Linked DNA regions of Saccharomyces cerevisiae S288C. The protein of the gene in region 2 binds, or shares a complex with, the protein of the main gene of each other region. Each region holds a gene or a part of one and is shown on either strand. Other genes may lie near its edges.

Region 1 (3,205 bases), on a different chromosome or scaffold from region 2:
TTGTTTCTCACTATTTGTCTTTTCTACTTTCAATTTTCTTATCTTTGTTCTATTCCCGTTCCTGTTCTATTCCCGTTTTATTTGCTGTGAGCAGGCCTTGTTATTGCCAACGTTTAAAACCATTTACTTTTTGTTTAAAAATCTCTCTTCTATTTCCACATCTCACCTAAAACAACGATCATTATATAACATGAGGTGTATTGTTTTTCCTCACCATACGATCAAATATAACATCACAAAGCTTACAGCAGAGCGACACTTTTTTGCTTAACAATTTGTATTTTGTATGATGCATCCAAGTCTTGCGCCAAGAAAGTCTACATTATAGGAAAGATCAAAGGAACTTGAAATAATGTATTCCTTTTTCTTTTCACGCCCTTTCTCTGGGTGATTGCCGCAATGAAGATATAAATATGCGAATAAAAAACCAATGCTCAATACAAATGCACTTATGAAACTGTAGTTAAATTATAATTTTACCTGCATATATATTATTATAGAAGTTCGTTAAAATAATTATATTTAAAATTTCAACATGTGTGGCTTGTCACCGTTCTTCAAAGAGAAAGAAGCAGACAAGTATTGCTTCAATAATGGAGTCTTCTTGATTTCAGCAATCAAAGCCTTGTCGACAACCTTTTGGTCTTCAACACGTTCAGCCTTGATTTCCTTGTTTTGTTGTTCTGGGAACAAGTTAGCTTCCTTCTTTTCCTTCTTAGTCAATTTTTCCTTAGCAAAGTATTCGACATTGAATTTTTCAACGTTGACACCTTCGACAGAAACCTTAGTAGAGGTAGCAATGACGTAACGAGCATTGACTCTTCTCAAAGGAACACCATTGACCTTGAATGGACCAGAAATCAACAAAGTGTTGTCTTCTAGATGCTTCAAGTAAACAACTCTCTTACCTCTGAAACGACCAGCTAGTAAGATCAAGACGGTACCTGGAACTAGAGAGGCACGCAACTTTTGTGGGCGAGCAGCCTTTCTGGTCTTCTTTAGAGCAGCGACGTCTTCGGATGGATACCACTTTGGAGCCTAAATGGAAAAAAGAAATATCAAACGACTAATGTTAGTATTCTTGATTTGCGAATGGTGATAAATTTTTATAGGGAGAGATTATGCCTAGCGATTTGAAACTGTAACGTGGGCCTTTGTTTGGAAACTAAATAATCATGAGCTAGGGTCGATATACCTTATTGCTTTGCTCACCTTCTCACTCATAGTATTAACATTGTGTTGAAAGGTATACTGCCTTAATCATTTATCCTCACTGTACACTGTATAACGTCATTTATCAGTTTTCATTGTATTATTTTGTTCGACGTCCTGATCTTATTGTTTCTTGTATGGATATGTCTGAGATTGATGGCATCATATCAAATTTCAAAACTTATGCCTTCGTGAATGTAAATTGACATCTCCCCCTCGAAATTAACATGTAGGAACATACTTTTTGGGCACTCATTTCGTTGGATGGCTATTACTTTGTTGTTTCGCCTAATGTAAAACTGATATTCAATCTTTAATGAGTAGTACATTTAATCTATTCATGTAACCCTTCCATTCGATAACCTCCATACCAACGAAATTTTGCAAAAGGAACAAAGCACACTCCAGTGGGAAACTGGACAAATCCGGTGAGTCCTCCCAGACGGGAAACGTGTCTCTCGCTTCTGTTGTCCGCCCAGCGGAGAAGCCCTCTCCAGAACGCTTTAGCCGCAACCGCAATGGTCTAGGCGGGCCGCTTTTCGAATCTGGTTAAGGAAAAAACTGAAGAAAAATATAACAAATCCATACATTTTAATAATGTACGGATTTAATAGCAGTCTTCACATTTCTTTCTTCTCCCTAAGCAGTAACAGGAGAGCGTTGAAATATGTTGTAATATATGTTGTAATATATTATAGTAAATATAACGTTATATAATAATAGCGCAAAATTATAACAAACACAGAAAAGACACCTGTTAACACACCAAATGTGCCCTTATTGAGCGTATAAAAGAATAGTTTTCACTGTTTATTACTGCGTGTATTCTTGAGGAACTTCTGGCACGGGAGGTACCTGACCATTCTTGTCTTTACCGTAATTAATCTTTACAATCAGATGACCGTCTCCTAATTTTACAGAAATTTGGCCATCTTGTTGAATTTGAGGGTCACCCAAGTTGATTTGAGCAATACCAAGATCTTTGTCCCTCGATAGTCTTTGATGGGAAATTGCACCCAGTACCAAATTGGCTTCGGGAGAAGCCTTGAACGAGCACTCTTCATCAAATACGGCAACACCATCATTATTGGCTTTTTGGCTTTTCGTTTTGTATATGTGTTTTAGTCTACCACCTTGAGTTAAAGAGATCTTAATTTGAACATGCTTGGCAACGTTTTCCGCAGCAACCACGGTAATAAAACCATTGTAAGTGCCATGAGGAGCTAAAGTACGCGCAAAACTGCTTGCACGAGAATGTCCTCTAGAGTTGCTACTAGGGGTATCTTTTTTGTTGCTTGAGCTAGAAGTGTTGTCAGTTGGCTTGACTACAGGAGATGCGCTTTGAACGGGCGCGTAACTTGTGTTAGGTACTGATGGATCATAGTCTAGTGAAGCTCTTGGTGTTACACTAGTGCTATTCAAATTACTTGGGGATCTCCTATCAAAAGATTTTTTCTCTGATGATTTTTTTGCACCGTTGGACTCATTTCCATTGCTGCTCTTGCTTCTTTTCATTGGATTGCCACCTAGAGATTTTAGAAGGTGACCACCTTTCTTTAAACCACCAGTGGCAACTCCTGTTGCTGCTCCTATACCAGTACCAGCTATGCCAACAGTTGCATGGGCTGCACCACTGGCTATTTTCATCGGCTTATCAGTGATACCGCCTTTCACGATATCAAAACTTGGCTTGATATATTCTGGGTTGAATGAACCTTGTAATTTGATACTTCCTTGTGTGTTTAAATTCAAATTCCAGTTGTAAGTTTTACCAACTTCTAATGAGGAAACGTCAAGTGAAGCTTGGCCTAAGTCGTCATTATCACCTGCACGATCCCAATCAAGAACATTAAATATGACTTGATTCTTACTTCTTGAAAGGATTGGTATTTTAGCATCTTCGTTCCATACGGGATCCAATGTTTTCTTTTTAATGTTCGATTTGAAAACTTTTTTATCATTGACAAAGATGTGAACAAATGGATCTGAATAG
Region 2 (2,884 bases):
TTTCGCTGCCTTCCACTGCGCTTTGTTTACTTTTCCTATAAAAAAAAACGTTGTCGTTTACGTCCTAATAGAGAAAAGAGATGCTTCTGTTCAGTTTAACCAGTATTAAACCAGCATATATGTCGGGTAACCATATTTTTATGTTTTCATTTCGAAACTTGCTGGTACACCCAGATATCATTTTGATTTAAAGCAATAGCCGAAGAACAAGAGAAAGCTACGGGTATGATTGCAAGACTCAAGAAAAAAGAAAATCATTTGTAACGTATTAGAGAATATTTATTTTTTAGTGTTTCTTTCCTTTACCAAAAAATATGCAATTAGCATCAATAGAAGAAAAAACAAAAGCAATTTGAGAAAACGTAAAGTGGCTCTTTATTTCAATGAGCACTAGCAACGTTTCCCCTTGACAGCATTCCCTAGAGAGCCTGTCAATTCATCATTGGAAGTGAGGCACATCCAATGACAAAGAACCTCAGTCTTTACATAATACTAAATAAAAAAGTAGGAATAATGTACATATTTAAGCGCCTCTAAGCGCAAAGACACTTTTTTGTTCCATTTACATGTCTTCGACAATGAAACCCTTGTGGGAAACGTAGATACCATCCAAAAACTTACGGATATCCTTGTTTCTAACACGACAGATTTGTTGCAAGTCAGCGGCATTTTGGGAAACGTCTTCAACAGAGTTACCAGATAAGACGATTTCGTCCTTTACGTTAGTAGAGAATTCGATAGTAACACCATCTCTAACTGGGACGTTTCTGATCTTCTTGTCACCCAAAAAGTTTCTGACTTCAATGAATTTAGCACCATCCTTTTCAACAATGTTGACGTTGATTGGGAAATGCGCGTAGACGTATCTCATCTTGTACTTGTAACCCTTGGTGACACCAGTGATCATGTTGTCAACCAAAGATTTAACGGTTCTCAAAGCGGCAACGTGCTTTCTGTCACCGTTGTGAACAGCAACCTTGATCAATTGGTTGTTGACCTTGGTGAAGGTAACATCAATATGCTTCAAGTTCTTGGTCAAAGTACCTCTTGGACCGACAACCTTGACGATTCTGGACTTAATGCTGACAGTAACACCTTCTGGGATTTCAATTTGTTGTTCGGTTTGAATGTACTTCATCTTTAGTGACTATTGGAGGCTAGAGTTTGGTTTATTGTCGTTTCAGAGAGAGAAAATGAACTATTTCAAAAAGAGAATAGGTAAAGGGAAAGGAAATAGAAATATGGTTGGTAATTTTTTTTTTCATGTTTGCCGTCCGTTTAAATAATTTTCACTTTTCCTGTGCGTCGCTTTAAAAAAAAATTCACTAGAAGAAAAAAAAAAATTCCCAGTTAATAGTGCAGTCTTGGAAACAACACCAGTGCACCACATGAGTTTACACATCAGATGCAAACGGGATCGTACATTCGTAACATTGATGCTTGTATACGTCTCTCCTATAGTTCCTGGCAAGCACAACGTGTGACACAGAAGAAATGGCAATGCTAAACATGAAAATAGATTTTCTTGGCTGTAAGTAAATCGATTGCAAAATTGGTTCCTACCGCTACGATATCACACACTTGTCTTCTTAAAAGAGGAGCAGTAAATCCAAAATTTGCCTGGCATCAATAGTCGTCTTAAAAATGTCTAGAGGAACTACCTCTGTTATCTCTTCTTTTTGTTACTGACATACTAATTAATTTTTACATAATTGCTGTCCTCCTTCCCCTTCTATTTGCGAATTAGAAGTGATGAAAAAAGAGCTAAACATAAAGAAAAAAAACTTCCTTCGGCTGGTCCAAAAGGGTCCAATAGCAGAAAGTAAAAAGCTATTTTGAAACTATAGAACCTCAAGAACATTAACATTTGAGTCGGATCATGTCAACTGTAAGAACTGAATATTAATTCAACATATTTTAATAATTTGTGTCATATGTATCTTGCAACAGGCTTTCAAAAATTTGCTGCCTGTTGGGTACAGGCTGTTTTTTATTGATTACGCTTTATGCTTATCCCTTAAGCTGCAACATTTTGATGGCCTCTTCTTCCTGTCTCTTTCTGTGCCATATAATCGTTCCCTTAGCATTGATGATGACTTATGCCGGACCCCGCCCCAGAACCCTTCGCACAACATTACCGAAAATCTTCGATTTCGCTCATTAAAAGAGGGAAAAAAAATTCGCTCGCCCTGTGCCATTTGGATTTTCTAGGTAAATTAGTAAATAAAGAAAAAAAATGCCAATGGTTCCGCATTTCTAAAGGTAAACAAAAAAGTGACATTCATAGGATCACTATATTTCTGTAAAACTTAAAACACTATAGAGCAGTCCTTTTCCACTGAATTGAACCGCTCAATAATCAAGATCATACTAAGGAACAAAAGGCTAAAAACACTTCAAAGCCAATCTTCCCGATTCCCTCGCATAAGTGATCATTGCTAGAAAAAAAAAAAAAAAACAGTACGATACACATAAATATTGGTGTGCTCCCTCCGTTTCCTTTATTGAAACTTTATCAATGCGCAAGAAATGTCCAGCAGCAATTTTAACGAGATGAACGAACTAAATATGACTCAAACAAATTATGGCAGCACAAAATATACCGCTCAGCATCATCAAGGTGTAATAAATGCCATCATCTCTTCACTGACAGCCCCAGATCAGCCAACTACCGTATCATTACAATATTCCAACGACAAGAACATGGCGACGGAAATACAAGCTTATGCTAAACTCTCCGGACCAAACTGGACCTATTATGTGAAGGATTTGGAAGTTTCTATTGGTAGAAATACTGATCCCTTAAACAGTGCACTACAGGAAAATTCAGATGGTGTAAAAAACTCATATAGAGTGAATATTGATCTCGGACCTGCCAAAGTCG
Region 3 (2,384 bases), on a different chromosome or scaffold from region 2:
TTTGGAAAACGGTTCCGTTCAAGTCTTGAATGGCCTTCAAAGCCAGAGTATTGTTTGCGAACTGGGCAAATGCTATGCCTAGTGGTTTGCGAGGGTTGCTATTGTGCCTTTTGCTGAATCTGCGGACGGTCTGCGTTGGAATCAACACTGAACTGGCGCCATAGTTGTTTAGGAAGGCATGTAGGTCTCGCTCACTCGCCGTGAATGGCAGGTTCGAAATGTAAACTGTGGTAATGGTAGTGGTAGTGTCACTGGTAGTGTCATTGTTAACTTGTTCTGTCATTGCGGGCTTGTTTGTATGCTTATGTGAGGCCTTATACTTCTCTATGTGTTGCTACTCAGTAGAAGGTCAACACCATTGTTTTATACATCATTTATCTTTTGTTATTAATTTGTGACGCTTCCATTTTGTGGCACATAAGGAGGAAAAAGAAAATTAAAAGAAAAAAAAAAAGAAATAAAAAAAGAAAACGGTACTGGATATTGAGATAAATTTTCCTTCAATTAAGATAATAAAACATGTTATATAAAATCAGACAAAATAATATGTAAATTTTTAACGTATTATAATCTTAAAAAGTTTATTTCTTGGCAGCAGCCAAAGCCTTAGCAGTGCCGTGTAGGGCATGCTTGTGGTTTCTTCTAAACTTTGGATCAACACCTTTCAAAGAAGGGTACTTGTAGGTCTTTGGCTTCTTGATACCGTTTCTGTGAGCCTTTCTGGTTTGGTTGTGAGCGGTATGGTTCTTAGACTTAGCCATTTTCTGGAGAAGACGATGAATGTACGCAGAAATTGCGAATGGTCATTAAAGGTTAGTAAAAATGATTCATAACGGTGGAGGGGAGTAGCGTGGCAGCTAACTGCCAATCTGAAGTGGTGCTAGCGGGGGCAACTTCGAACAAGGGTATGCTAAAGGTAATTGAACGTTCGAGAAAGAGCGTTCGCTATAAGTTCAAACACTGGTAACTTTCCATTATTTTCCCTTCTCTCTTTTTTTCTTTATATCCTCCACTATATGCCACTCAGCGCACCTCAGATTTGGCTACCTGCATTTCCAATGGGCGAAATGGGGACTTCATGATAATATAACGTACTTTCTAACTGTATTGTTGTTCCGGGGTTCTTGAATATTGAATGAAAAATGTTATAAAATAATGGGTTGAATCTTGAAATATGCAGTATTGAAATATTCTGAAATTGTATGTATCCAGAGATTATGGCAAAGCCTAAAGGGAAAATGGTAGACTTCCTACATTGAGAATATCGCTGGTTTTCCCGAGCGCGGCTAGCGACCATTTTTCTTTGTCCTTACAGAACTAAAAAAAAAAAACCAAAAAAAAGTCGAAAACAAGAATACATGCGCTGTATGGGTCTAAGAGTATGTACGGATGTAAAAGAAAACAGTACTAGACAGAGCGCATAAAAAAAGCCTAATCCCTTTTCCGTCTGTATACTTGTGCTCCCTTATAAAAAAAATTAAAAATTAAAAAATAAAAATAAGAATAGTGTATAAAATTATTTTTGCTTTGATTTTAGTTTATTTATTTACTTTCTAAATACAGTAGGTTAAATAAGGATCGGTTTCTTGAAGAAATTGTAACAAGACTCAGAATAAATATGAATATAGGGAATATGACGGATAAACAGACTACTTTAATTTGTCAAATAATCTAGGTGCCGTGGCAGTGTCCAAATAGTGCTGTAGATGGAAAAACTCCTCCACACAGTCCTCCTTGTGTTCAAGATCCGCGTAGCCGGGTTGTTGTTGCTGTATCTTGACTCTCTCAGCACACTCCTCGTAGTGGTGCACAAGGGCCTTACCCTCCTCCGTGTTCTTGAAATGTTCTCTCAAATCTTCCAACTGATCAGTGACTTCTTCCTCTTCTTCCTCATCTTCGTCGTCATCATCATCATCATCTTCGTCTTCGTCTTCATCCTCATCTTCATCCCCATTTTCTTCTTCTTTTTCTTCTCCTTCTGCTGCCTTTTCTTCATGCTGCTCGTTATCGTCATCTTCGGCCGCGGCCACAACAGGCACAACGGTTATCTTTAGTTGTTCCCAGTACTCACCAACTAGTTCCAACATGCCCATTTTCTATTTCTTTTTCTTTATCCGTGTGTGTAGGTGTAAGTGTATATGTGTGCTTCTGTTAATGTGAGTGCGTGTATACAATATGTGCAAATAAGCGCCAACCAATACTGCCCTTAAGACTGAGTAGGTCCTAATCTCGAAAACCCGGTGTGGGCCACTTTCCAGCAAAGCGCCTCTTATAACAAGCACCGCGCAGGGGAGGCGCGCCCCAGTCCGATATGCCCGGAACGTGCTTCCCATTGGTGCACGGTCACGTGCTCACGTTCTGCTGTAGGTGACGGATGTACCGGC
Region 4 (2,656 bases), on a different chromosome or scaffold from region 2:
CCGAGGACAAAATGGAGTCACTATACAAGGTAATAAAGGTGTATTCTGTTTATGATCCAGATGTTGGGTACACGCAAGGCATGGGGTTCATTGCAGCGCCGCTATTAATAAACTGTGAAAACGAGGCCGAATCTTTTGGACTACTCGTTGGATTAATGAAGAATTATGGATTAAGAGAGCTTTTCTTACCAGGAATGCCTGGGCTGATGTTAATGCTTTATCAATTTGATAGATTATTAGAGGAGCATTCACCTTCTTTGTACAATCGCTTGATCCGTGAGGGAATTAGCTCCACAATGTACGCTACACAATGGTTTTTGACATTTTTCGCATACAAGTTTCCGTTAGAGTTTGTGTTAAGAATTTTTGATATTGTATTCGTAGAGGGTATTGAAGTGCTTTTGAAGTTTGCTGTAAATTTAATGTTAAAGAATGAAGAAACTTTAGTAAAATTGAGATTCGATGAACTATTGGATTTTTTAAAGGACGAACTCTTCAATTACTATTTAATGGGAAACCAGGATGACGCTTCTGTAGTGCAAATGGGATTGTCAAATGGGAACTCATTTAAGGGCAATGATGACGGCACTTTTTCCTACAATGTCGATCTTTTCGTTCATGATGCAATGACAGGTGTATATATCACACCATTAACATTAAGAAGATACAGGGGAGAGTACGTAGAAATCCATGAAAAAGAGCAAAAAAAAGAGGACCACTACGAATCACTAAGAATTCAAAACCACCAACTACAAAGAGAGGCGCAGAAGCTAGAACACGACTATTCAATTTTGAACAAAGAGAATATCAGCGCCGCTAACGAGCTGATTCAGAACAGATTGAATATGGAGATGCTGTTGGATGAAAAAAACGACCTGATAAATACAATCACTGATATCAAAAGCCAAATTGAGGAAGAGATTCGCAAGCAAAATTTACCGAACCCGGACGCGTCACTACCAAAGGCAGATCTGAGAGAAGACTTGGAAAGGACCATATCCAGGAACAATGAGGTGATGAGGGAGAACGGCCAATTAGAGGAAAGAATCACTGAACTGCAAGCGGAAATCGATGAGTTGATTAACATCAATAAGGAGCAAGTGTCCACGGCATCGTTATTGGAACGAGATTCTAAGGCTAAAGGGAGGAAAGGCTGGACTGGTTTTAAAAAAGTTTTTAAATAGATGTATAGTTTTGCGCTGTGTGCACATTGTGTGCCTCTCCAATTTGTGTTAAAAAATGCATCACGACTCGTTTAGACAATGTTGTTGTTGTTGTTTTTTTTTTGACTGTATTTTCACCCGTACATCCACGGATGTGTTGGGTTTTTGTTTCCGCTTTACCGTGCGGGAGACGACCATGACCGAGAGGTCTGGTTGCGAAAGACGCACATACCGCGTGCGCGGAACTTTTTCATTGGGTTGCCAACCAAGGCTGTTCAGGGAAGCCCGACGAGGGAAGCTAGCATGAATGCACTAGGAGAGAGAGAGAGAGAGAGGCAGAGGAAGAGGCACATCATTGCATTTCTTGAATATTCGTTTTAATTAGCGTTAAGTCTTAAGTTCGTGTATTACCATAGTCAAAACAGAATAGAGAAGCAAGGATAATACAAAATGGCTGTCAAGACTGGTATGTTTACCTGAACTAATGAACTGTAGAGCAAAAGCAAAATGAACTGAACCACTAAGCCAACAACAGAAATACAAACAGGATGAGATTAAGCTCCAGAGATATGCAAACATCGTTTATATCCTGCACCCAGCGTTGCAGTACTCCGTGGAGTCTTTGTTTATTTATTTTGCTCGTATACTACGTGAGTACTAGTGTGCTTGTTACTAACATAAGATATTCTATTTTTTTCCTCTAGGTATCGCTATTGGTTTGAACAAGGGTAAGAAAGTCACCCAAATGACTCCAGCCCCAAAGATCTCCTACAAGAAGGGTGCTGCCTCCAACAGAACCAAGTTCGTCAGATCTTTGGTTAGAGAAATCGCCGGTTTGTCCCCATATGAAAGAAGATTGATCGATTTGATCAGAAACTCCGGTGAAAAGAGAGCCAGAAAGGTCGCCAAGAAGAGATTGGGTTCTTTCACCAGAGCCAAGGCTAAGGTCGAAGAAATGAACAACATCATTGCTGCCTCTCGTCGTCATTAAACAGCGTGAGGGGGCCACAGTCAAGCAAATCCAACTCCGCCACAAGACCGAGTGCTATTTTCCATGGCTCTCCCCCAAAGCTAGTTAATAAAAAATAAGTAACAAATCATTATAGTAATTCTTAATCGATATCTATTTAAGAAGTGTAACAGCACATGCAATGAACCGACTTCGTCATTCATTACCTCTGCTTTTCCCTTTTTCAACAGTCACGTGCGCATCTCCCTTCCGGGTAAGCACCGCACATGCCAAAGACCCTATCCTGGCTCGCCCACTCACTCATCTCCATTAGAGACTCAACCACATTTGTGGGTGTGTTACAGAAGTTACACCATACCCACTGTCCTGGTCCGCAACAGTTGCAAAATCAATGATGCCTGCTACCGTCATGCTATCATGACAAACGATGGCACCTTTGCCAAGCAAAAAACTGTAAACAAAACCAAACCAAGAAGTCCCTTGGGGTTGTGAGCCATATTCTCCATCTGCGTTGTTTCATAAC

Evidence for each region.
Region 1: RPL9B (region 2) and RPL6A share a complex: the UniProt entries of both Saccharomyces cerevisiae proteins name them as parts of the large ribosomal subunit.
Region 3: RPL9B (region 2) and RPL29 share a complex: the UniProt entries of both Saccharomyces cerevisiae proteins name them as parts of the large ribosomal subunit.
Region 4: RPL9B (region 2) and RPL36B share a complex: the UniProt entries of both Saccharomyces cerevisiae proteins name them as parts of the large ribosomal subunit.

Annotation. Positions count from the first base shown.
Region 1 is NC_001145.3:122,705-125,909, forward strand, and holds RPL6A (60S ribosomal protein eL6 RPL6A), read right to left. Parts: upstream 1,469-3,205; coding exon 1,454-1,468; intron 1,039-1,453; coding exon 523-1,038; downstream 1-522. Other genes in the region: TCB3 (Tcb3p), read right to left, coding at 2,026-3,205. UniProt on the Saccharomyces cerevisiae protein: Component of the ribosome, a large ribonucleoprotein complex responsible for the synthesis of proteins in the cell.
Region 2 is NC_001146.8:497,935-500,818, reverse strand, and holds RPL9B (60S ribosomal protein uL6 RPL9B), read right to left. Parts: upstream 1,139-2,884; coding exon 563-1,138; downstream 1-562. Other genes in the region: YNL067W-B (uncharacterized protein), read right to left, coding at 1,262-1,402; forkhead family transcription factor FKH2, read left to right, coding at 2,530-2,884. UniProt on the Saccharomyces cerevisiae protein: Component of the ribosome, a large ribonucleoprotein complex responsible for the synthesis of proteins in the cell.
Region 3 is NC_001138.5:222,677-225,060, forward strand, and holds RPL29 (60S ribosomal protein eL29 RPL29), read right to left. Parts: upstream 762-2,384; coding exon 582-761; downstream 1-581. Other genes in the region: RRT5 (Rrt5p), read right to left, coding at 1-283; MIN10 (Min10p), read right to left, coding at 1,034-1,297; QCR6 (ubiquinol--cytochrome-c reductase subunit 6), read right to left, coding at 1,650-2,093; phosphate-sensing transcription factor PHO4, read right to left, coding at 2,344-2,384. UniProt on the Saccharomyces cerevisiae protein: Component of the ribosome, a large ribonucleoprotein complex responsible for the synthesis of proteins in the cell.
Region 4 is NC_001148.4:75,197-77,852, reverse strand, and holds RPL36B (60S ribosomal protein eL36 RPL36B), read left to right. Parts: upstream 1-1,613; coding exon 1,614-1,629; intron 1,630-1,867; coding exon 1,868-2,154; downstream 2,155-2,656. Other genes in the region: GTPase-activating protein GYP5, read left to right, coding at 1-1,184. UniProt on the Saccharomyces cerevisiae protein: Component of the ribosome, a large ribonucleoprotein complex responsible for the synthesis of proteins in the cell.